Linked DNA regions of Elephas maximus indicus. The protein of the gene in region 1 binds, or shares a complex with, the protein of each later gene. Links are inferred from orthologs where the notes say so. Each region holds a gene or a part of one and is shown in the gene's direction. Other genes may lie near its edges. The genes, in order: LRRK2 and RAB29.

Evidence for each region.
Region 2: the proteins of LRRK2 (region 1) and RAB29 are in contact, whole or in part, in a cryo-EM structure (PDB 8FO2), measured with the Homo sapiens proteins. The link is inferred for Elephas maximus indicus from reciprocal best matches to the Homo sapiens genes LRRK2 and RAB29. Residues at the interface, in NP_940980.4 of Homo sapiens: Arg361, Lys362, Arg399, Met402, Leu403, Leu406, Met407, His408, Leu437, Ser438, Lys439, Gly440, His442, Leu443, Asn444, Glu447; in NP_001129134.1 of Homo sapiens: Leu7, Val42, Asp43, Phe44, Ala45, Leu46, Arg58, Gln60, Trp62, Leu76, Tyr77.

What each region holds. Positions count from the first base shown.
Region 1 is NC_064822.1:94,615,556-94,627,578, forward strand, and holds the start of LRRK2 (leucine-rich repeat serine/threonine-protein kinase 2), read left to right. Parts: upstream 1-5,718; 5' UTR 5,719-6,327; coding exon 6,328-6,481; intron 6,482-6,738; exon of another isoform or gene 6,739-6,739; coding exon 6,740-6,825; intron 6,826-10,521; exon of another isoform or gene 10,522-10,640; coding exon of another isoform or gene 10,641-10,643; intron 10,644-12,023. UniProt on the Homo sapiens protein: Serine/threonine-protein kinase which phosphorylates a broad range of proteins involved in multiple processes such as neuronal plasticity, innate immunity, autophagy, and vesicle trafficking.
Region 2 is NC_064836.1:15,348,673-15,360,615, reverse strand, and holds the start of RAB29 (ras-related protein Rab-7L1), read left to right. Parts: upstream 1-6,697; 5' UTR 6,698-6,781; exon of another isoform or gene 6,782-6,809; intron 6,810-7,087; 5' UTR 7,088-7,201; coding exon 7,202-7,325; intron 7,326-10,820; coding exon 10,821-10,892; intron 10,893-11,855; coding exon 11,856-11,943. UniProt on the Homo sapiens protein: The small GTPases Rab are key regulators in vesicle trafficking. Essential for maintaining the integrity of the endosome-trans-Golgi network structure.

The sequences.
Region 1 (12,023 bases):
TGAAAGGGTAATAAAAAAAAAAAAAACAACAACAAAAAAGCCCTAGCCAGGAGGTCTTCACTGCAGAGTTCTACCAAACTTTCAGGGAAGAGTTAACTCCACTACTGCTAAAAGTATTTCAGAGCATTGAAAATGACGGAATACTCCCAAACTCATTCTATGAAGCCACCATATCCCTGATACCAAAACCAGGTAAAGAAAATTACAGACCTATATCCATCATGAATTTAGATGCAAAAATCCTCAATAAAATTCTAGCCAATAGAATTCAAGAACATATAAGAAAAATAATTCACCATGACCAAGTGGGATTCATACCAGGCATGCAGGGATGGTTCAACATTAGAAAAACAATTAATGTAATCCATTTTTATCATATAAATAAAAGACAAGAATCACATGATTTTATCAACTGATGCAGAAAAGGCATTTGACAAAGTTCAACACACATTCATGACAAAAACTCTCAGCAAAATAGGAATAGAAGGAAAATTCCTCAGCATAATAAAGGGTATTTATACAAAGCCAATAGCCAACATCAACATCATCCTAAATGGAGAGATTCTGACAGCATTCCCCTAGAGATCGGGAACCAGACAAGGATGCTCTTTATCACCACTCTTACTCAACGTTGGTCTGGAGGTCCTGGCCAGAGCAGTTAGGCTAGATAAAGAAATAAAGGGCATCCACATTGACAAGGAAGAAGTAAAAATATCTCTATTTGCTGATGACATGATCTTATACACAGAAACACTAAGGCATCCTCAAGAAAACTACTGAAACTAATAGAAGAGTTCAGCAAAGTATTGGGATACAAGATAAACATACAAAAATCAGCTGGATTCCCCTACACCAACAAAAAGAACATCAAAGAGGTAATCACCACATCAATACCATTTACAGTAGCCCCCAAGAAGATAAAATACTTAGGAATAAATCTTACCAGAGATGTAAAAGACTTGTACAAAGAAAACTACAAAACATTTCTGCAAGAAACCAAAAGAGACTTACATAAGTGGGAAAACACACCTTGCTCCTGGATAGGAAGATTTAACATTATAAAAATGTCTATTCTACCAAAATCGATCTATACATTTAATACAATTCCGATCCAAATTCCAATGATATTCTTTAATGAGATGGAGAAACAAATTACCAACTTCATATGGAAGGAAAAGAGGCCCCAGATAAGTAAAGTATTACTGAAAAAGGAGAACAAGGTGGGTGGTCTTACTCTACCTGATTTTAGAACCTGTTATACCACCACAGTATTCAAAGCAGCCTGGCACTGGTACAACAACAGATACATAGACCAGTGGAACAGAATTGATAACCCACACATAAATCCACCCACATATGAGCAGTTGATATTTCACAAAAGCCCCAAAAGTATTAAATGGGGAAAAGACAGTCTTTTTTAACAAATGGTTCTGGCATAACTGTATATCCATCTGCAAAAAAATGAAACAAGACCTATACCTCACACCATGCACAAAAACAAGCTCAAAATGGATCAAAGAAACTAAATATAAAATCTAAAGTGATAAAGATCATGGAAGAAAAAATAGGGAAAATGTTAGGAGCCCCAATATGTGGCATAAACAGTATACAAAACATTATAAAGAATGCAGAAGAAAAGCTAGATAACTGGGAGCGCCTAAAAATCAAACACCTATGCTCATCCAAAGACTTCATCAAAATAGTAAAAAGATTACCTATGATTGGGAAAAAATTTTTAGCTATGACATTTCTGATCAGCGCCTGATCTCTAAAATCTACGTGATACTGCAAAAACTCAACTACAAAAAGACAAATAACCCAATTAAAAAATGGGCAAAATGTATGAACAGACCTCATTAAAGAAGACATTCAGGTAGCTAACAGATACATGAGGAAATGCTCACGATCATTAGCCTTTAAAAACCAAAAAAAAACAAACCCAGTGCCATTGAGTTGATTCCAACTCATAGCGACCCTATAGGACAGAGTAGAGCTGCCCCATAGGGTTTCCAAGGAGCGCCTGGTGGATTCAAACTGCTGACCCTTTGGTTAGCAGCCGTAGCGCTTAACCACTATGCCACCAGGGTTTTCCGCTCCAACAAGGCTGGCGTTAATCCAAAAAACACAAAATAATAAATGTCAGAGAGGCTATGGAGAGATTGGAACACTTATACAGCACTGGTGGGAATGTAAAATGGTACAACCACTTTGGAAATAGAATTGGTGCTTCCTTAAAGAGCTAGAAATAGAACTACCATACGATCTGGCAATCCCACTCCTTGGAATATATCCTAGAGAAATAAGAACCTTTGCACGATCAGATACATGCACACCCATGTTTATTGCAACACTGTTTACAATAGCAAAAAGATGGAAGCAACCAAGGTGTCCATCGACAGATAAATGGATAAATAAATTATGGTATATTCACACAATGGAATACTATGCATCAATAAAGAACAGTGATGAATCTGTGAAACATTTCATAACATGGAGGAACCTGGAAGGCATTATGCTGAGTGTGAAATTAGTCAGTTGCAAAAGGACAACAATTGTATAAGACCACTATTATAAGAGCTCGAGAAATAGTTTAAACAGAGAAGAAAATATTCTTTGATGGTTACAAGAGGGGGGAGGGAGAGAGGGTGGGAGAAGGGTATTCACTAATTAGATAGTAGATAAGAACTACTTTAGGCGACAGGAAAGACAACACACAATACAGGCGAGGATAGCATAAGTGGACTAAACCGAAAGCAAAGAAGTTTCCTGAATAAACTGAATGCTTTGAAGTCTAGTGTAGCAGGGGCAGGGGTTTGGGGACCATGGTTTCAGGGGATATCTAAGTCAATTGGCGTAATAAAATCTATTAAGAAAACATGCTGCATCCCACTTTGGAGAGTGGCGTCTGAGGTCTTAAACGCTAGAAAGCAGCTATCTAAGATGCATCAATGGGTCTCAACCCACCTGAATCAAAGGAGAATGAAGAACATCAAGGATACAAGGTAATTACGAGCTCAAGAGACAGAAAGGTCCATATAAACCAGAGACTACATCAGCCTGAGACCAGAAGAACTAGATGGTGCCTGGCTACAACAGACAACTGCCTGACAGGGAACACAACAGAGAGCCCCTGAGGGAGCAGAAGAGCAGTGGGATGCAAACCCCAAATTCTCATAAGACTAGACTTAATGGTCTGACTGAGACTAGAAGGACCCCAGTGGTCATGGCCCCCACCCCTTCTGTTGGCCCAGGACAGGAACCATTCCTGAAGCCAACTCTTCAGACATGGATTGGACTGCCCAATGGTTTGGAGAGGGATGCTAGTGGGGAGTGATCTTCTTGGATTAGGTGGACACTTGAGACTATGTTAGCATCTCCTGCCTGAAGGGGTGATGAGAGGGTAGAGAGGGTTAGAAGCTGGCGAAAGGGACTCGTAAAGAGAGAGTGGAGGGAGGGAGTGGGCTGTCTCATTAGGGGGAGAACAATTGGGAGTATGTAGCACTGGGTTCTTTGTAGCAAGGTGTATGTAAGTTTTTGTGTGAGAGACTGACTTGATTTGTAAACTTTCACTTAATGCACAATAAAGATTAAAAAAAGAAAATATCATAGCTTGGGTCAGGTACACCTTAGTCCTCAAAGTGACATCTTTGCTTTTCAGCACTTTAAAGAGGTCTTTTGCAGTAGATTTGTCCAATGCAGTACATCATTTGGTTTCTCGACTGCTGCTTCCATGGGTGTTGATTGTGATCCAAGTAAACTGAAATCCTTGACAGCTTCAGTCTTTTCTCCGTTTATCACCATGTTGCTTATTATTCTAGTTGTGAGCATTTTTGTTTTCTTTATATTGAGGTGTAACCCATACTGAAGGCTATAGCCTTTGATCTTCATCAGTAAGTGCTTCAAGTCTGCTTAGTGTTTCAGCAAGCAAGGTTGTGTCATCTGCATATCTCAGGTTCTTAATAAGTCTTCCACCTATCTTGATGCCATATTCTTCTTCACAGAGTCCAGTTACTCTAATATAGTATAGAAAATAGATGGAATAATGAATATTGATTGAGGAAAAGAAAAGGAATCTTTTATACTTAGATTGACTTTCTCTTAGAAGGCAGTTAGGTTTCAATCTCTTGCAAGATAATAAACCAGTAGTTTGGGAAGGGAGACATAAAAGGGAGACTTCCTAGAAATATGAGTTATTGAGTAGGTAGTCAAAAGATGACATAAGAAACCAGTTAGGAAGGCATATACAGCAGGTATGATAACAACTACAAGTATGAGAGTTGTGTGTGTTTTAAGTTTTATATGGAAACTTTTATATCTTATAAAAAGTAGAGAATAGTAAAATAAACCCCATGAAGCTATCTCCAACAATTATCAATTCAAAAGTTGGTGTTTTTGCATCACTACCTCCACCCATTTCATCCCTTCCCCCATCACTGGGTTACTTTGAAGCAAATCCTCATCATTATATTATTTTAACTGTAAATAGATAAGCGTGTGTCTTTAAAAGATAATTGGTATTAATAAATGGTACATATAGAAACTTGAATTGCTGTGTCTTTAGCTGTATATATTCTCAACAACAATAACAAAATAAAATTTGGGGGGAAAAATGTACAACAACGGCAAAACATTCACAATACCAAGGTTGAATTTAAACTTGTTTTATTAACCTAATGTTTGAAGTAAAGCTAGGTCATTTTGATTAAAATGGCAGAATGTAAAGAAAAAGAGCACTCAATTTGGTGTTAGACATTCTACCTGGATTTAAGTTCCAGCTCTCAACTTCCCATTGTTTGACCCAGGAAAATCTCTTCATTTAACATCTCAAATCTCAATTTTCCATTAGTAAAAGAAGAAGAAATTGTAGCTGCCTTGTGCATTTCAGAATTATCATTAGACTGAGGTAACAGATGTGAAAGGAATCTAAAAACTGAGAAGTTCTAACTTCCAGTTCAATCCTCTCCTGTGTAAATAGCCCTTACCTTGTGGTTTGCCTTGGCCTGAAGACAGTATCATTTTTGTCTACAGTGTAGAAGTGCCTTGTCTACAGTGTTTCTAACTGGTTTCCCTTCCTGAAAAACACATTACTTTGGTCCATTTTTAAAAACTTTTGATTATAGACACCCATTTTCATTAGTAATTCTTAATAGTAAGAGAGCAATATTTTTTGGCTTGTTTGTTTCACCTTTTCTGCTGGTCATTTCATTTACCCTGTCTTTCTCTTCAGTTTTAATAGTACAGAGAATTGATTACTTTTGGCATGTCCACTATCAGGAATCTTCCTAGTGCAAACACAAAATTTCAAGGTATTTTTAGTGGCCTTTTGGAGCCCTGGCAGCGCAGTGGTTACGAGTTTGGCTGCTAACCAAAATGTCAGCAGTTGGAACCCACCATCCGCTCCTTGGAAACCCTATGGGGCGGTTCTACTGTGTCCTATAGGGTCGCTATGACTCAGAATGGATTTCAAGGCAATGGGTTTGGTGTTTTTTTTTTTTTTTTGGTTTGGCAACCAGATTTTCAAATAACAGAAAAAGCACCTTTTATCTCCACGCACAACAATCACAAAAAAAGAATTTAGCTAGGCAAATTTTGACTGCTAACATCTCCATCCTTGCGGAGAAATTAATGCATCTCCCTGTAGGTGGAACCCTAAAGAGAATGTTGCCCTAAAAGGGGCCGACTGGGCGGTGTCCTCTTTTCCCAAAGCCCTGATTTCTATTCTCAGATCTGGAAATAGGCGGCTTTCATTTTCCTCTTCTGAGATCCCACTTTCCGTGGGCCCAAAGGAGCCCGGGTTGGCCGGTCTGGGACCGTAACCTGCCGGCTGCAGGCTGTAAGCCTCCTCCCCACCGCTGCAGGACTCCGGGTCTGGGGCACTTGGCGGACTCCGCTGAGTCAGTTTCTTCCTGCGCGACTCCCTTGCTGCACTGCCTCGGCGAGTGGGATCAGATCGGGCCAAGGAGGCGGCGCCCGCCCGGGGGTTCCCAGCGCAGTGGGCTCCGGGGCCACAGTCGTCTGGCCGGCCCCCCCTGGAGCCCCGCCTCGGCAGCCGTGCCACGGTTCAGCTTTCTACCAGCCTCTCGCAGGCCACCGAGCTCATTTTTGGGGCCTGGGCGGCGGAGGAGGAAGGCTCGAGGAGAGGGAGGGGAGCGCAGGGCGTGGAGACGCCGCCTTTCTCATAAACAGGCCGGAGCGGGTGCCCATGGGGCGTACGGGCTGCCAGCAGTGAGCTGTACTTGCCCGGAACAGTGGCCTAAGCCCCAGCCCCTTGTCTGAGCAGCGGGCCTCCTTGCCCGGAGGGGCAGCGGATACACAGCAGGGGCCATCATGGCCAGTGGCAGCTGTCAGGGGTGCGAGGAGGAGGACGAGGAAACTCTGAAGAAGTTAATAGTCAGGCTGAACAATGTCCAGGAAGGAAAACAGATTGAGACGCTGGTCCAAATCCTGGAGGATATTTTGGTGTTGACGTACGCCGACCACGGTAATCACTAGGGAATGATTCCCTCCACCCTCACCCCTTTTTGCAAACTTTCTCCCTTGCCCTTTGGAGCTGCTCAGTCCAGGACTCCTGAGAAGCCTCAAACTCCCTACTCCTTTCCTTAAAGCGGAAAGGAGCTGAGAATTCCAGGAAGATCTTGAGCTCACCTCGTATTTGCTTCCCCCCCTTTTTGGGACATTAAAGGGCTGCTGTGAATTGTGACTGACTTTGCTTCTTTCCCCTCACCCCCTTCTTTTCCAGCCTCCAAGTTATTTCAAGGCAAAAATATCCACGTGCCTCTGTTGATCGTCCTGGACTCCTACATAAGAGTCGCGGGTGTGCAGCAGGTAAGGAGCTGCTTTCATTCTGCCCTTTCGCCCTTTCTTTTTGGAAAGCGATGTTTTTCTGTCAAAGTTATATACCTGGAGTTCCTGGTTATTTCTGAGATTTGGCTTGATGAACCTCTGACAGTGATTTTAAGATGAGAGTATTGTCAAATCTTTATCTAATGTTAACTGTGTAAAAGTGCTTGCCCGGAGTTCCAAGAATGTCATTAAAAGGTAACTTAATAAAACTGACTGGCAGAACGTGGTTGGGGGCTGGGGAGAATAGTAATGGGTTGAGGTACTCTGTTACTGGCTAGATGAGTTTCAGGGTGTTTAGACTGAATTATTCTTAGGATTTTCCCAGTGCAGAGCTATGTCCTAGATTTGACACCATTGCCAATAGTTTGGGAAAGGGGAATAATTAACAGTAATAAAACACAATTAAGTAACTGGCAAATTCTCATAGGTTTCAGAGATTTTTAAAAAAATTTTAGTTTGAAGACAGTGAAGTACCTAGCCTTTTTAAAGTTTGCCTTGTGTCTAATGAAAGTGATGTTTTAGGATTCCCCTATATGTTTATTTTTTGTGTTCCCATGTAAACTGAATATAAAACTGAAATTTTTAGAATCGGTGTCATAGGAAACTCAAAAAATCGAGTTAGTATATCTTAGGTATATTAAAAAGTGAAACCTAAGATGGTAAGTAAGAATGATTTACGGTAAAAACAAATTTCTGACTAAGGTGATAACTTCCTTTTGAGATTTGGGGAACTGAAATGAGCTTTGTCATCTGTAAAGTCCTGATGGAAAATAAAATTAAACTTTGAATTCTGTGGAGGTGTAGACAGAAAGCCAGTATTTCTTCCTGTCTAATTGAGATGCCACACAGGGGTAAGAATTCTCTCTCTCTGTCATTGTGTTTATGTATCTTTGTCTCTATCTCTATATCAGCTATGTCTGATACTAAGTATCTAACTTCTTTTATATAAGCACATTCATATCTGGGATAAATGGTTTCTTTTATTTTTCTTCAACTATGAAATGTTTTCCATCTGACTATTGATTTCCTGGCTACTATTAAACAAAACCAAGAAAAGCTAGAGGCATGATAAGGATGCTTGCTCTTTTTAGCACTCGAGGTCTGAATTTGCCCATGGAACATGAATCACATTTTAGGCACTGGTCCACCGTGTTTGCTGCTCTCCACCCACCTACCCCCATTTCCCTCGCCTCCATGTTCATGTGACTGGTTCTGGCAGCCTCCATTCCTGGACTCTGCCTGGCAGAGTCACCTTGCTCAGTACCACTCAGGACAATGGGATCCTAGGTGGGCTTTGGTCTACAGAGTCCAGAGCAAGCCATGATAGGCTTGAGACCCCAAGGGAACCTGAACATACTTCCCATCTGATTCTTCTTCACTTTAGAAACTGCCCAAACCTGAGTCACACTATTCTGTAGTAGCTATGAGTATCACTCAATATTCTGGCCCAGTAGGTACTAGAGACAAAATATGGAGGGAAGTAAGGAATTGTCTTCTGATTTGATAATTTAATGGAATAGAATTATTAATTATAGCACCATCTAAGCCTGCAAAGGGCATTGTATATATTATATCATTTGATACCATTGCCTGTTCAGAAATCTCACTGGATAATTTCCTCTCATAAAAGCTCAGCAAGAGGAAATGGCTTATTTGGGATCACCCAGCTAGTAGCAGAGCCAAGACTTTAACTCAAGTCTTCTCGTAACTTTGAAGCCTCTTCCGTCATACTGTCCACGGCTTCTGAATATCACAGACTTTTCATGTAAGCAAGTACAAAAGCACAATGTTTTGGTACAACCACTGTGGCCATACTAGGCACAGAAACATTGTAATTTTTGATTCACATCACTCTTATCAAAGGGATGTAGAAACAGGTCTCTCTACTGACATTTTGATACTGCACTTAAAGGGAAGAACTTTTTTTTTTTATAAATTTCTTCTCATTGGCTAGTGTAATTATTATTTTTTATGTTGAATTGTTTAGAAGTGCTAAATTAAAAGCTCTTAATGATGAACCACCATTCATCTGTCAGTTCGTTGTACTGTGGTGGCTTGCATGTTGCTGTAATGCCGGACACTGTACCACTGGTATTTCAAATACTAGCGATGTCACCCATGGTGGACAAGTGTCAGAGGAGCTTCCAGACTGAGAAAGACTAGGAAGAAGAATCTGGCGATCTACTCCTAAAAAAAAAACTAAAAAAAAAAAAAAAAAACAGCTAGTGAAAACATTACGTATATACTATCACTATGAGTCAGAAGTTCAATGATGAACTAAAGGCGTTATGGTAAATGCGCTTTAAAAAAAAAAAAAGACTTTCAGAAGTCATTTATCATGATACTCCAGACTCTGAATTTGTATTTTTGAGGCCTTTTCATGTTTTATTAATGCAATTTAATAAATGACAATCTTTAGAGAATTGACAGGCTAGCTGCCTTGTAATTTTCTTTTCCTGGCAGCCATCTGATCATTTTAACTTATTGTCTGTGCTTCTCAATTTTATGTTTTCTTTATCCACACAGTTTCAAGTTTTAGAGAAGGGGAGCAAAATAAATGAAAATGACTAAAGTTATCTTTAATGCTAAAATCTTTCCCAGTGTATACTAATTAGATGCTTGAATTTACAGAATAATTATAATAAAGTGAAACTACCAATTCAATTGTATTGTAACTGTGTAGGATGGAAACCTCTTTTTGAAAGATAAGCTCTTAATTGAAGACTAATGGATCAATTATTACCTCTGCTTTGCTGCCAGAGATTGTTTAATCGTAGAAGCTCCACATAGTGACTGAAAGCTCAGTTGTCTGAACCTTTTTGCAAAGCAATTACTGATGCTGCTGCTTCACGAAACAAAAACAAAAACAGATTTTCTCCCTAAGTCAGCCATGCAGGTTGAGATGAGTTTAGCATCCAGTGTGATTTTTGTCCCCAGAAGCTGTTTAGAATGTCATTTTTCTTAAACTCTTGGGGAAAAAAAAATCTCAGTGTATTTTATGAAAGCACCAGAATAGTCAGTTTCTATGACAGCTGGATTGCCAATGCCTGTTCAGCTTAACTGAAGGAGGATGTCTTAGTTAAATATAAGGTAAAAATAGGTGTCAGATGTTGACTTTTCAAGCAATTTGAAATTATTTAAAAGGAAACCGTGACAAAGTAAAGCAATTCATGCACGATATGGAAAAGATGCAGAAATAATATTCTGTTGAGATCTCACGTAATCTTTTTTTATCTTGGTAAAATGTCCCTTGCTTACTTTTTGTTTACTCCCATAAGCAAGTAAAGAACTTATAGGGCTCTAGGTGCCACTATTCCTTATTGAATGCACATAAATTCTTCCTCTTGTCATTCAGCTCTCTGTGTCCCTCCAACACCACTTATGCATTCAGTCTTGTCTGGCAATAGTCCTCCCACGCCACCACCCGTAGCAGTCCTTGAAAATTTAATACCTCACTCTGCTCCTAGTTATCAATTTTGTTGTTAGGTGTTGTTGAGTTGGTTCTGACTCAGCAACCCCGTGGACAACAGAATGAAACGTTGCCTCGTCTTGTACCATCCTCAGAATCGTTGCTATGTTTGAGCCCATTGTTGCAGCCACTGTGTCAATCCATCTCGTTGAGGGTCTTCTTCTTTTTCACTGACCCTCTAACTCACCAAGCATGATGTCCTTCTTCAGGGACTGGTCGCTCCTGATAATATGTCCAAAGTACATGGGATGAAGTCTCGCCATCCTCACTTCTAAGGAACATTCTGGCTGTTCTTCTAGGACAGATTTGTTCATTCTTCTGGCAACCCATGGTATATTTAATATTCTTCACCTGTACCATAATTCAAATGCATCACTTCTTCTTCAGTCTTCCTTATTCATTGTCCAGCTTGCACATGCTTATGAAGGCAAATGAAAATCAATTTTAGTAGGTTCAATTTCTATACTTTCTAAGACCAAATTTGTAATTTAAATTTATAATTCTTTTGAAATTTGACTCAAATCTACTTCTTCCATATTAAATCGTTCTCTGAGTAATTCTAGCTCACAATGAATACCATTTTCAGGATTTATATCGTGTTGGTACTTATTGTGCATCTCACACTTAGACACATCTTCATTAATTTCTAGATACTATATATATGCATTTTCTGTTTTTATTTGTTCCTGGCCATATCAAGTACAGTTCTATAAGGTAATAGAAAGAATTGAAGATTCTTTAAATTTAGAGAAGAATATACAGTAGACGGAGTGGGTTAACATTTATCTCCATTTCCCCTCCCCCCTGTTGGTGGAGACCAACTCATTCAAATTGCCATCAAATGTAAATGGACCAAAAATATAAAAAAAAAGGCATTAATAAGATCATTATTTTTTTGAGAATGTAAAAGAGACAAGGGACGTTTGTAATCAACTCTAGACCTCATCAGCTCATATTTATATGTTCTAAAGAAATCTAAAGGGGGCCACTGAGGGATTCCACCTCCTGTCTATATTGTAGTCCATTAATCATTGGACTTAAGACTTTGGTGTTTCAGTGGTAGAAATCTCACCTTCCATGCAGGAGACCCAGATCTGATTCTTGGCAAATATACTTCATGAGCAGCCACTACCAGTTTGTCAGTGGAGGCTTGGGTGTTGCTATGACGCTGATGCTGAGCAGGTTTTAGTGGAGCTTCCAGACTAAGATGGACTAGGAAGAAAGGTCTCACAACCACCTTCCAAAAAATCAGCCACCGAATACTCTGTGTGTCACAATGGTCCAATCTGGGACACCATGATTCAGGGGCAACTTGATGACAGTTAACAACAACAATCATTCTTTTGCCACAGTTAGTCTAGCTCTATTACTAGAGGAAGTCATTCCTGATAATAACTTACACTTTCACCACTAATATCTCCAACTTCCCCTAACCTTCCATTCCAAGCCACTTCATTTTTTCCTATAATTAAAATTGTAACTATTTAGAAGAAATTCTGTCAGATAGCTATGACTTAAAAAGTACTAAGGTTGATTATAACCGTTATTACACTTAATAACCTTGGCAAGTCCCCTAAAACTGTTTTTTGTTATGTAGTTTTTATCTAGACAATAGGCATATCTGTTTGCTTCATGATTCAGAAATGTTGTAATATTTTTGTATGATCTTTTGGTATTTTTTTTTAGTCAGATACTTTCTAAGTATATGGCT
Region 2 (11,943 bases), on another chromosome or scaffold:
GAAACACCGTGACTTTTGGAATGAGTCTGGGGCTTGGGGCTGATGGATAGCTGTGGCACCATGGCCTCCCCGTTCCCTGGCTCTGACCCTCCCTCCCTGCTGCTGGACCATTTGCTCCATCACTTCAGCCTCCATTTCACGTTGGTGTTGGGTGCCATTGACTCGTTTTCGAGTCATAGTGACCCCATGTAACAGAGTAGAACTACCCCATAGGGCTCTCTTGGCTATAATCTTTACAGAAGCAGATGGCCAGTGCTTTCTCCCGCAGAGCCACTGGGTGGGTTCAAACTGCTGACCTTTTGGTTAGCAGCCAAGCGTTTAACCATTTGCACCACCGGGGCTCCTTGGCAAAATGCTAGGGATTTGTGAATCCAGCTGAAGGACATACTGGTATTCACTGTACTCTTCTTTTAACCTCTCTACAGAGTTGAAATTTTTCAAAATCAAAAGTGGAAAGTAAACAGTAGAAAGAGAAAGGCAGACAGAAACAGAGCAAGGCTGACCACTTACCCCAGCTTCCAAAAGACTGTGCTCCCAACATGTCTATGCAAATCAGTTGCTTGACACTCTGAATGTTTTTCTTTCTCTCTTATTTATAACTGTCTCTCTGGGAAACTGCAATCAGAATTGCAACTTAGTATCAAAGAAATATTCCTCCTGCCCCCCCCCATTCCACCAAAGGAACCACTAGTCCTGTGACTTGGGGGAGCGTCAGTAATTTGCTCATCTTCCTTTTTAAACCTTCACTCCCCACATTTTCTGATTTGGGAAACTACGGGTAGTTCCCACACTGACAACCGGGGTCGAAACCAAAATGTTGTGTTTGAAGTCCCCACTTCCTGTGTAATGCACTGGTTGTTTATAAGTCAAATAATTGTAAACTGGTTGTATAGTTAAGTGACCAAAAGCTGAGCAGATTATAAATGCTTAGGTGACCGATACGGGCTGCAATAATAAAGGAAATATTCATAAATGAGGTGATACTTAAAATCAGGCCTTAACGCAGCATTTCTCAAAGTGGAATCTGGCCTAGGATTCACCCAGGTATTTGCCAAAAACACAGATACTCCTGGGTCCTACCTCAGCCCTACAGAATCAGAATGTCCCTATTGAACAAGTGCCCTGTGTGATTTTTATGCGCACTAAAGTTTAAGAACTTACAGTGTGGTAAGCATTTGAAAGTGAAAGAAGTCTGAAGGGTATTCTGATGGGTGAAGGACCCTGGGCAAAGATAAACATAAAAAATGAGATGGCTTTTCAAGAATATAAGGAGGGCGGGTTGGGGGAGGGGGATAAGAGACACTTAAGAGCCACTGAGCTTCTGTTAAGAGTGATGGAAAAAGTTGGAAATAGATAATAGTGACGGTCACACAACATGGTAAATACTATTAATGTCACTAACTTGCACGTGTGAAGAATGTTGAAATGGCAAATATTTTATGACAATAAAAAATAAAAAGTGTAAGAAACCCCACCTTGTTGGAGGGAAGAAATTCCCATTTCAGGTCCGTTGAGATGGAATGAAGTTGGTTAGGTAGCGTGGGGCCAGCATGAAAGCCTGGACACCAGCTCAGGGAGGTTGACCAGTTTTTAGAAGGTTTTTTGGTAGGCATGAAGGAACAATAATAACATTTTAGGAGAATCATCCTGGCCAGTTGTGTAGGATGAATTGAACGGAAGAGAAACTGAAGTCAGTAAGACCACTGAACAGGTTATCGAAGTAATACAGGTGTGAGATGCGGAAAGCCTGAGCTGGGAAAGTACACTACATATGGAGCAGAGAGGGTGGATGGAGGAAACATTCTGGAAGGAGGAATCAGAACACACATGATGCCTGACTTTTTAGAAGGGAAATGGGCACACAAAAATCAGTTGTGTTTCTATACACCAACAATGAACGATCTGAAGAGGAAATCAAGAAAACATGCCCATTTACAATATCATCTAAGAAAATAAAATACCTAAGAATAATTTAGCCAGTGAAGTGTAAGACTCATACACTGAATACTGTAAAATGTTGCTGAAAGAAATTAAATAAGACTTAAATAAGTGGAAAGACATCCCATGTTCATGTTTTGGAAGACTTAATATTGTTAAGATGCCAGTATTACCCAACCAAAAAAAAAAAAAAATTACCCAAAGCAATCTACAATTTAATGCAATTTGTATAAAAATTCAGAGAGCCTACTACATGGGCACACCAGCCTAGGGGCAAAGACAAGAAGGCAAAAGGGAACAGGAAAGCTGGTAACAGAGAACCCAGGTTCAAGAAGGGGAGAGTGTTGACATGCTGTGGGGTTGGCAACCAACGTCACAAAACAATGTGTGTGTTAATTGTTCAATGAGAAACTAATTCGCTCTGTAAACTTTCATCTAAAGTACAATAAAAAAAATCCCAGCAGCCTTTTTTTAATGAAATGGAAAAGCCAATCCTCAAATCCATATGGAATTGCAAAGGACCCTGGACAGCCAAAACAATCTTGAAAAAGAAGAGCAAAGTTAGAGGACTCACACTTATAATTTCAAAACGTACTATAAAGCTACAGTAATCAAAACAGTCTGGCACTGGTTGAAGGACAGGCATTTAGACTAATGGAATAGAATCAAAAGCTCAGAAATAAACCCATACATCTATGGCCAATTGATTTCTGACAAGGATGCCAAATCCATTCAATAGGAAAAGAATAGTCTTTTTAGTAAATGGTACAGGAACAGCTAGATGTCCACATGCAAAGAAATGAAGTTGGACCCATACCTCACATCATATACGAAAATTAACTCTAAATGGATCAATGAGCTAAATATAAAAACTAAGATCACAAAACCTTAGTCAAAAACATCGGGGTAAAACTTAAAGACTTCGTTTTTGAAAGTGAATTCTTAAGTATGACACCAAAAGCATGATCAATGAGGGAAAAAATAAATTGGAGTTCATCAGAATGAAAAATTTTTGTGTATCAAAGGACTTTACCAAGAAAGTGAAGACACAATCTATGAAATATTTGGGAACTATATATCTGATAAGATAAGAATTTACTATCCAGAATATATAAAGAACTTCTGCAATTCAACAACAAAAAGACAACCCCAGTTGAAAAATGGGCAAAGGACTTAAATAGACATTTCTCTAAAGAAGATGTACAAATGGCCGAGCAACACACAAAAAGATGCTCAATGTCATTAGTCATTAGGGAAATGCATATCAAAACCACGGTGAGATACCACGTCACACTCACTTGGATGGTTATTATTAGAAAAACTAAAAAGTGTTGGCAAGAATGTGGAGTGCCCTCATGCGTTGCTGGTGGAAATGTAAAATGGTGCAGCCACTGGGGAAAACAGTTCGGTCGTTCCTCAAAATGTTAAGCATAGAATTACCTACTAACGATTCTACTCCTAGGTATATACCCAAAAGATTTGAAAACAGGGACTTAAATAGATACTTGTATCCCAATGTTCATAGCAGCATTATTCACAGTTGCCAAAAGGTGGAAACAGCCCAAATGTCCAACAACAGATGAATGGATAAGCAAAATGTGACACACATACAATGGAATATTACTCAGCCATAAAGAGAAATGAAGTTCTGATACATGCCATGACATAGATGAACCTTAAAAACATTATACTGAGTGAAGCAGGTCAGACACAAAATGACAAATATTGTATGATTCCACTTATATGGAATGTCTAGAATAGGCACATGCATAGAGACAAATGCTTGTTAATAGTTATCAGGGGTTAGGTTAGAAATAAATGATGCATTGCATTGGGCAAATTTGCTGCAAAAGACCTCTTTGAAGTGTTAAAAAGCAAAGATTTCACTTTAAGGACTAAGGTGCACCTGACCCAAGCCATGGTGTTTTCAATCGCCTCATATGCATGTGGAAACCCTGGTGGTGTAGTGGTTAAGAGCTTGGCTGCTAATCAAAAGGTCAGAAGTTCAAATCCACCATGCATTCCTTGGAAACCCTATGGTGCAGTTCTACTCTGCCCTATAGGGTCGTTTTGAGTCAGAATCAACTCTACAACAATGGTTTTTTTTTTGTTTTTTTTTTTTTCAGATTCATGTGAAAGCTGGGCAATGAATATACCATGAACTGCCAGAAGAATGAACAAATCTGTTGTGGAAGAAATACAGCCAGGGTGCCCCTTGAAAGCGAGGATGGCAAGGATTTGTCTTATGTACTCTGGACATGTTATCAGGAGGGATCAGTCCCTGGAGAACGGCATCACACTTGATAAAATAGAGAGTCAGCAAAAAAGAGGAAGACCCTCAATGAGATGGATTGGCACAGTGGCTGTAGCAATGGCTTCAAGCATAAACGACAATCATGAGGGTGGTACAGTACCAGGCAGTGTTTCCTTCTGTTGTATGTAGTGTCACTGTAAGTCAGAACTGACTCGATGGCGCCTAACAGCAACAACAGGAGTTAGGAGGAGGAGGAAATGGGAGTTACTGCTAAAGGGGTACTGAGTTTCTGTTCAGGGTGATGTAAAACTTTTGGAACTGGTGGCGGTAGCACAACATGGTGAATGTAGTATCACTGAATTATATACTTAAAAAGGGTTAAAATGGCAAACTTTTTGTTATATATATTTTACCACAATAAAAATTTTAAAAAGCAGTGGGGGGGGAGGGCTGTAAATGGACATCTGTAAAAGGAAATATTAATAATGCTCATGGTCTGAAGCCTCAGCAAAGGGAAGAAATGACAAGGCCAGTGACCGAAATAGGGAAAGTGAGAAAAGGAGCCGTTATTTGGCCAAGTGATGAGTTCAGTCCAAGAAGTAATGAGAGGGAAGCTGAGCTGTGGTGGAACATCCAAGTGGAGGTTACTTTTCGGAAGTTGGATGTAATGAATTAGAGGTAAAAACAGAGAGATATTTGAAACCAAGGGCAATTCACCAAAGGGAAGAGTTTATAGAACAATCAGCTCAGGGATTGTCTTGTTATCTAGGGTTGCTATAACAGAAATACCATAAGCAGATGGTTTTAATAAAGAGAAATTTATTCTTTCACAGTCTAGGAGGCTAAAAGTCCAAATTCAGGGTGCCAGCTCCAGGCGAAGGCCTTCTCTCTCTCTCGGCTCTGAAGGAAGTTCCTTACCATCAATCTTCCCCTGGACTGGGAGCTTCTCAGTGCAGGAACCTCAGGTCCAAAGGATGTGCTCTTCTCCTGGCACTACTTTCTTGGTGGTATGAGGTCCCCCTGGGTCTCTTTGCTTGCTTCTCTCTTTTACATTTTAAAAGAGATTGGCTTAAAACATAATCCAGTCTTGTAGATTGAGTCTCATCAACATAACTGCCGTTAATCTCATCTCATTAACTTTATAGAGATAGGATTTACAACACATGAAAATCACATCAGATGACAAAATGGTGGACAATCGCACAATACTGAGAATCATGGCCTAGCCAAGTTGATAGATATTTTGGGGGGACACAATTCAATCCATAACAGGGATCAAGAACCAAGCCTTAGGAAATACTTAGGGGGAGACGGGATGGAGAGAAACATAAAAGAAAAAGAGGTAGGATGACTATGAAAGAACAACGTCACAGAAGTCAAGTGGAAATAGATTTTAAGCCATTTGAACTATGTCAAAGCAAATAGGAATTGAGAAGGGCCATTAGAAAGGGATCTGAGACATTGTTAAAGATGTCTGACCTCCCCTAGCTAGGGTAACAAACAATTTGAGCTAAATAAATTGTGAACCATGCTGATATTCTTTCCTGGCAGAAAGCTAAGTGATAGTATTTCTACCAATAGATGTGGGCAGGATTTCACGAAGTCAGCCCTCTGGGCTATTTCCCCACAGCCCTACTGCTCCCACTTCTATTCCTGTGAAAAGCATAGAAAATGAAGCTCACCTTGCTTGCCAAACATACATCTTGTCCCCTTACCGCCTGCCTAAAAAACAGGCAGGTCGGAAAGGTTACAGGATGAAAATTTTAAATTACTTGCAAAACGAGTTTAATGATGATATGGCCAACAGCAGCAACAAATAAATAGAGCAAGGCTGATCCAATTAGCTTCCAGCTCAAATGATACATGTTTTGTCTAGAATATGGACTAGAATAGGGGCTGTGAGAGTGAGAATGAGGAACTATCTCTTGTTTTCTATCTTCATTGCTGTGGCTAGTTATTAAATGTTGTAACTTTTGGCATGGGATTTTCTAAGGGCCGGTCTCTTGGGTCAAGTTTCCCTGAACTTGCCTGATACTGGGTCATACCCAATGCCGTCAACTCGGGAACAAAAACCCAGTGCCTTCAAGTCGATTCCGACTCATAGTGACCCTATAGGACAGCGCAGAACTGCCCCATAGAGTTTCCAAGGAGCGCTTGGTGGATTCAAATTGCCAACCTTTTGGTTAACAGCCAAGCTCTTAACCACTATGCCACCAGGGTTTCCACAGAGCTCCATAGAACCTTTAAAGATACGAGGAATCTAATTTATCTGTAGAGGGATTTAGGAAGGTGAGATCATGTTGAACAAATCACCTGGAAGAACCCAGAATTATTTTAATATAAGATCCCAAACTAGTGACGAATTATGGGGGTTGTGAAAGTCTTGAAACTTCGCGTAGGCTTTTTTAATAAAAATAGTTCATAAACTACTTTTCCCAGGAGGCCTTGCGGCGAGCCTCCACACTCGGCTAGTTCTCTTCACCGCGAAGTGACATGGGAAATGTAGTGCTTCTCGCAATCTGCACGTGACGCATGCGGAGGGAGGCGAGGGGACCGCGCCACCAAGGCCAGCCAGGGTCCAGGAGTGAGGTGTGGAGTACTCTTATCTCCGAATTTGGTTTGTGCAGTGGGGGCAGGATCCCCATCTTCTGGCCCTAACCTTGAAATAAGCTGACCCGGCTTCAGTCGCCCACTGGAGCCGCCCGCGGGAAGTGCGGGTGGGTGAGGCAGCGAGGTGCTCCGTCCCGTTTCTCGGCAGCCGGGCCGGGAGGGGCAGAAAGTTCCAACAGCCGGGGGGCTTGGAGCCGAGCCCTACGCCCCACCCAGGCTGCGGCCGCGGGGGAGGAAGCGCGTAGAGGTGGAGTGCAAAGTTTCCTTTTTTTGCTTTTTCGTCAGAGCCGCCCCAGAGGCGGTGGGTGGGAATGCCTGACCTGAGTGTGTAGGGAGTCCGGAGCTAGAGGGGTTAAAACGCTTCCCACCTCCCTAAAACGCACACCCCGCTAGCCCGCCATGGGCAGCCGCGACCACCTGTTCAAAGTGCTGGTGGTGGGGGACGCCGCAGTGGGCAAGACGTCGCTGGTCCAGAGATACTCCCAGGACAGCTTCAGCAAACACTACAAGTCCACGGTGGGAGGTGAGACCTCGCTGGGGACAGGGGGGCGGCTGGACAGAGGCCCGACTAAGGACTCGAGCTGTGGGCCCAAGTGGGGTGGAGGGGAGGGAGCTCGTGTCCGTGGGTCCTTCTCAGGTCAGGAAGTGCGTGTTCGGGATCCTGAGGGGAGCGATTACTGGAGGTTTGATTTGCATGCCCCCTTGGGCTGCCCCACTTAGGTTTTCCCCGACAGAGCCAGCTGCCTGGAAAGAGATAGGGCGGAGGTGTGAAGATAAGAAATGGAGAAGGGAGGGTGAGAGAAAGCAGTTTCTGCGTTTCGCGAGCGAACTGTGAACTCAAGTTTCTTGCAGCCTTCGAAGCTGTCACAGGCAAATCTTAGCGAGGGGCAGGGGCAGCTGAGACCCTCTGTATGGCTCGGTAGGTGCCAGCTGCGACTGTGCGTTGTGGAGGGAGGAACAGAAGGATGTTTCACCTGGCCTCGAGGGGAGGACCTAGGACGTTGAGCTGGTCTGAAGGACCCTAGCTTTGTTATGGGAGTGCCTGGGCAGGGTGGGGACGGCAGATCCTCTGTGGGGCCTTGGCCACAGAATCAGGTGCTTATCAGGGCTGATGAGCTGTGTATTGTCCACTGATTGCTTAAAGGCAACCTAGGAATTCTTTGAAAAATGTGAAATATACCACTTTTCTGACCGATCTTCCTACCCCTCTTTCCCTCAAAGCGGGAAGGGGAGGAGGACAGGGGACACCAAGACTTAACTCATTTCTCTCTCAGGTGTGGATTTTGGACTCAACTGAGCTGTTTTTTTCAGAGATAGAGATGCCTTGTGGTTCCCTTTTCGTTAACTAGAGCGTGTTTAGCTGAGAGGAAACCCTGGTGATGTAGTGGTTAAGTGCTACGGCTGCTAACCAAAAGGTCAGCAGTTCTAATCCACCAGGTGCTCCCAGGAAACTCTATGGGGCAGTTCTACTCTGTCCTGTAGGGTTGCTATGAGTCGGAATTGACTCCATGGCAGTGGGTTTAGTTTTTTTGGTTCTTAGCTGAGAAGAACTAGTAAAGGGAAGAAGTAATTTAAACATTTATTTGTCTCTGTTAAAAGAACTTTTTTAAAGGAAAACACTTGTAACCCATTGCCGTGAAGTCAATTTGGACGACTCATAGCGAGAGCGACCCCATAGGACAGGGAGCCCCATAGAGTTTCCAATGCTGTAATCTTTATGGGAGCAGATCGCCAGCTCTTTTCTTCCTCAGAGAGGCTGGTGGGTTCAAACCGCCGACCTTTTGGTTAACCACTGCGCCACGAGGGCGCCTTGTAAAAACTTGCATTAGTCTGAATTTTGAAAATGGGTACTGGTGTTCATACAGAATTTTTTAAAATATCAAACATTTACATTGCAATTAAAGCATTCTCTTTCCCCTGTAAGACCATCAGCAAAATTAAGGGTTTAAAGTTTCGAAGATTGTTTCCTAACCACTTTGCCTCTTCCCCCTACTTCTAAATAATATGAGGGTCCCTATTTCATGGATGGATTGGAGCCTTGGTGGCACAGTGGTTAAGAGCTCATCTGCTAACCAAAGGGTTGGCAGTTTGAATCCACCAGCTGCTCCTTGGAAACCTTATGGGGGGTTCTACTCTGTCCTATAGGGTCACTATGAGTTGGAATTGAATCAACAGCAACGGGTTTTGTTTTGTTTTGTTTTCCTTTTAATTTAATGGATTATGGAGTCCCTGGGTGACATAAGGAAAACCTGGTGGCATAGTGGTTAAGGGCTGCAGCTACTAACCAAAGAGTTGGCAGTTCAGATCCTCCAGCCACTCCTTGGAAACCCTATGGGGCAGTTCCATTCTGTCCTTTAGGGTTGCTGTGAGTCGGAATCGACTCGACAGCAGCGGGTTTGGTTTTGGTGTTTTGGGTGATGCTGTGTGCTCAACTACTAGCTGAAAGGTTGGCAGTTCAGAGCCATCCAGAGGTGCCTCCGAGACAGGCCTGGCAATATGCTTCTGACAGGTCACAGCCTTGAAAACCCTGTGGAGCATAGTTCTGCTCTGCACACATGGGGTCGCCATGAGTCAAAGCCGCTAACAACAACAGTATTTCATGGGATTTGAGTTAAAAATGTCTTGCTAATTAACTTTTAGCAATTGCTCTGGTTTTCCTTTCGTAAAGAGTATACAGTAAAAAATCTGCAAAGCCAGGACTTGTGTAAGACGGAAACCTGCCGGAAGGAAAACAAATATTTTCCAGTGTGGTAGAACTGTGCCTTGTCAAAGGCAGAAGGAAGACTTCCGAGACTCGGAAAAACAAGGCATTCCCATCGAGTTCTGGTGCTGACAGTTTTCACTCTGACTCTAGCAAATTTTTTAGGGGGGGGGCCGGGGGGCGGCGTTTATTATAAATGTCCCCCAGCTCTTATTTCTGTCACAGATGTGGAAGAATGTATTTCCAGACCTCAAAAATTATCCTATTTCTCTGTTATCAAAAAGCTTTTCTCCTTGGAATGCTTGTTCAGCCTTAACTCACGGAGTCTCAGCACATCTAATGGAATCCTGAACAGATGTGGCGGTAGATTCCAGCGTAGCTCTTAAGCGCTATCCATGCAGTGTTCATTTCCTGGGAATCCTCTGGGACTTTTTCACTTTAATCCTGTTCCGGCCTGGGATAATTTCTATCGCCTTATGGAGGATATAGAATCCCCCAGGGCGTATTTTTCTCCCCCTGCACTTGAATTAGAAACCAACAGTGAAATGGAATGTGGAAGATGCAAGAGCGACCACACTTACCTCGTTTCTCCTCCCACCCCATCATCCCTTCCCTGAGAAAACCCCCAAATCTCCCAGAGACTGTTTAACCCGAGATTAGGAGTTGTTTTCATAATGACTGTCACCTTCCTGTCCCCAGCCTTTGAGACAAATAGTGTCAAATAAATTGTTTTGGCAGCAGAGTAACAGCTGGAGACTCCTTCGGAGAGGAAGTATGAATTATCTGTCTCATACCTAGTACACGAGGGTGGGCTCGGCTCAGTCTGTTAAGGGCTTAAAAATAAATGAGTAATCCCCAAAACTATTGCCCTGAGATACTCTTCAGACCTTGGATGTAGACTAGCCCCTGAGGCCACCTTATTTAGCTCTAAAAAATAAGGATTATCACTTGTAAGTACTGTGCTCCTTTAAAAAATCACCTGTACGATACCAAACAGTCAACAGTTACTGTGAAACAAAGACGGCAATATGAGGGGGCAGGGAGATGAAAATGGGACAACCAGAACGGAAATAATGAGTGTGTTCACACATTGTGAAGGGTGCAGCCAGTGTCACTGAACAACTCGCGTAGAGGTTTTTGAATAGGAACTTAAACGGCTGTGTAAACCTTTACTGAAAACACAATAAAATATTTGTAAAAATTAAAAATAAAATGGGTTTGGGAGCTGTGTGCCCCTAGAGTTGTAACTGCAGATTTGGTCTGGGTGTTTTTCAAAGGTTAAATTTCATTAACGTATGATATCCATTATACTTTCAGTGGATTTTGCTCTGAAGGTTCTTCAGTGGTCTGACTCGGAGATGGTACGGCTCCAGCTGTGGGATATTGCAGGTGAGCTGGGCAGGCTGGATAGGAACAAGGGAAGAAAGTTCAGTTCAGCTAGCAGTCTGTCAGAGAAAAAGGGGGACAGCCAAAACCCAAACTTCTTTCTGAAGGTGGAATGGTTAAGTTGCTCTGAGGATACAGAAACTTAAAGTTTTGCCCTAAACAGATGTAGAGCAGTGTTTGTGTGACTAAAGGGAATGGTAAGGTGGTAGGTTGTCCAGACCATAGGTAGACACTTCCACAGCAGGGGCAGGGCACTTTTTCTGGGTTCTCAGCTGACCTTGATGAGAAAAAAGATCCCTAGAAAATAGAGATAATAATAAGAAGTAGTAGTTTGTCTTGGAAGAAGTACAGCCAGAATGCTCCTCAGAAGCAAGGATGGCGAGACTACATCTCATATACTTTGGACACATTATCAGGAGGGACCAGTCCCTGGAGAAGGACATCATGCTTGATAAAGTAGAGGGTCAGTGAAAAAGAGGAAGACCCTCAACAAAATGGATTAATGCAGTGGCTGCAACAATGGGCCTATACGTAAGAACAACTGTGAGGATGGCACAGGACCGGGCAGTGTTTCATTCTGTTGTACATAGGGTTGCCATGGATTGGAACTGACTCAACAGCACGTAACAACAACAGCAACAACTCTTAGTACGTGCAAGCATACTCCTGAGCATTTTAGACTCACTGGCCCACAAATCCTCACGACAATTCCATGATAACAGCTACTGCCTTTACCCCTATTTTACAGGTGAGAGATAACGAAGCACTGAGAGCTTACCTTGCCCAGAGTCACATAGATAGTAAGTGGCAGAACAGGGATTTGAACTTGGACAGCCTGAGTGCAGAATCTTTACTACATATACTGCCTTTTCCCCCACAATCAAGGTAGAGAAGGCAGCGGGTCAGAGAGGGGACTGAAACTGTTTCTAAAATCACCTCCTTGTGTACCCTCCCCTTTCTCCACAGGACAGGAGCGCTTCACCTCTATGACACGACTATACTATCGGGATGCCTCTGCTTGTGTTATTATGTTTGATGTTACCAACGCCACTAC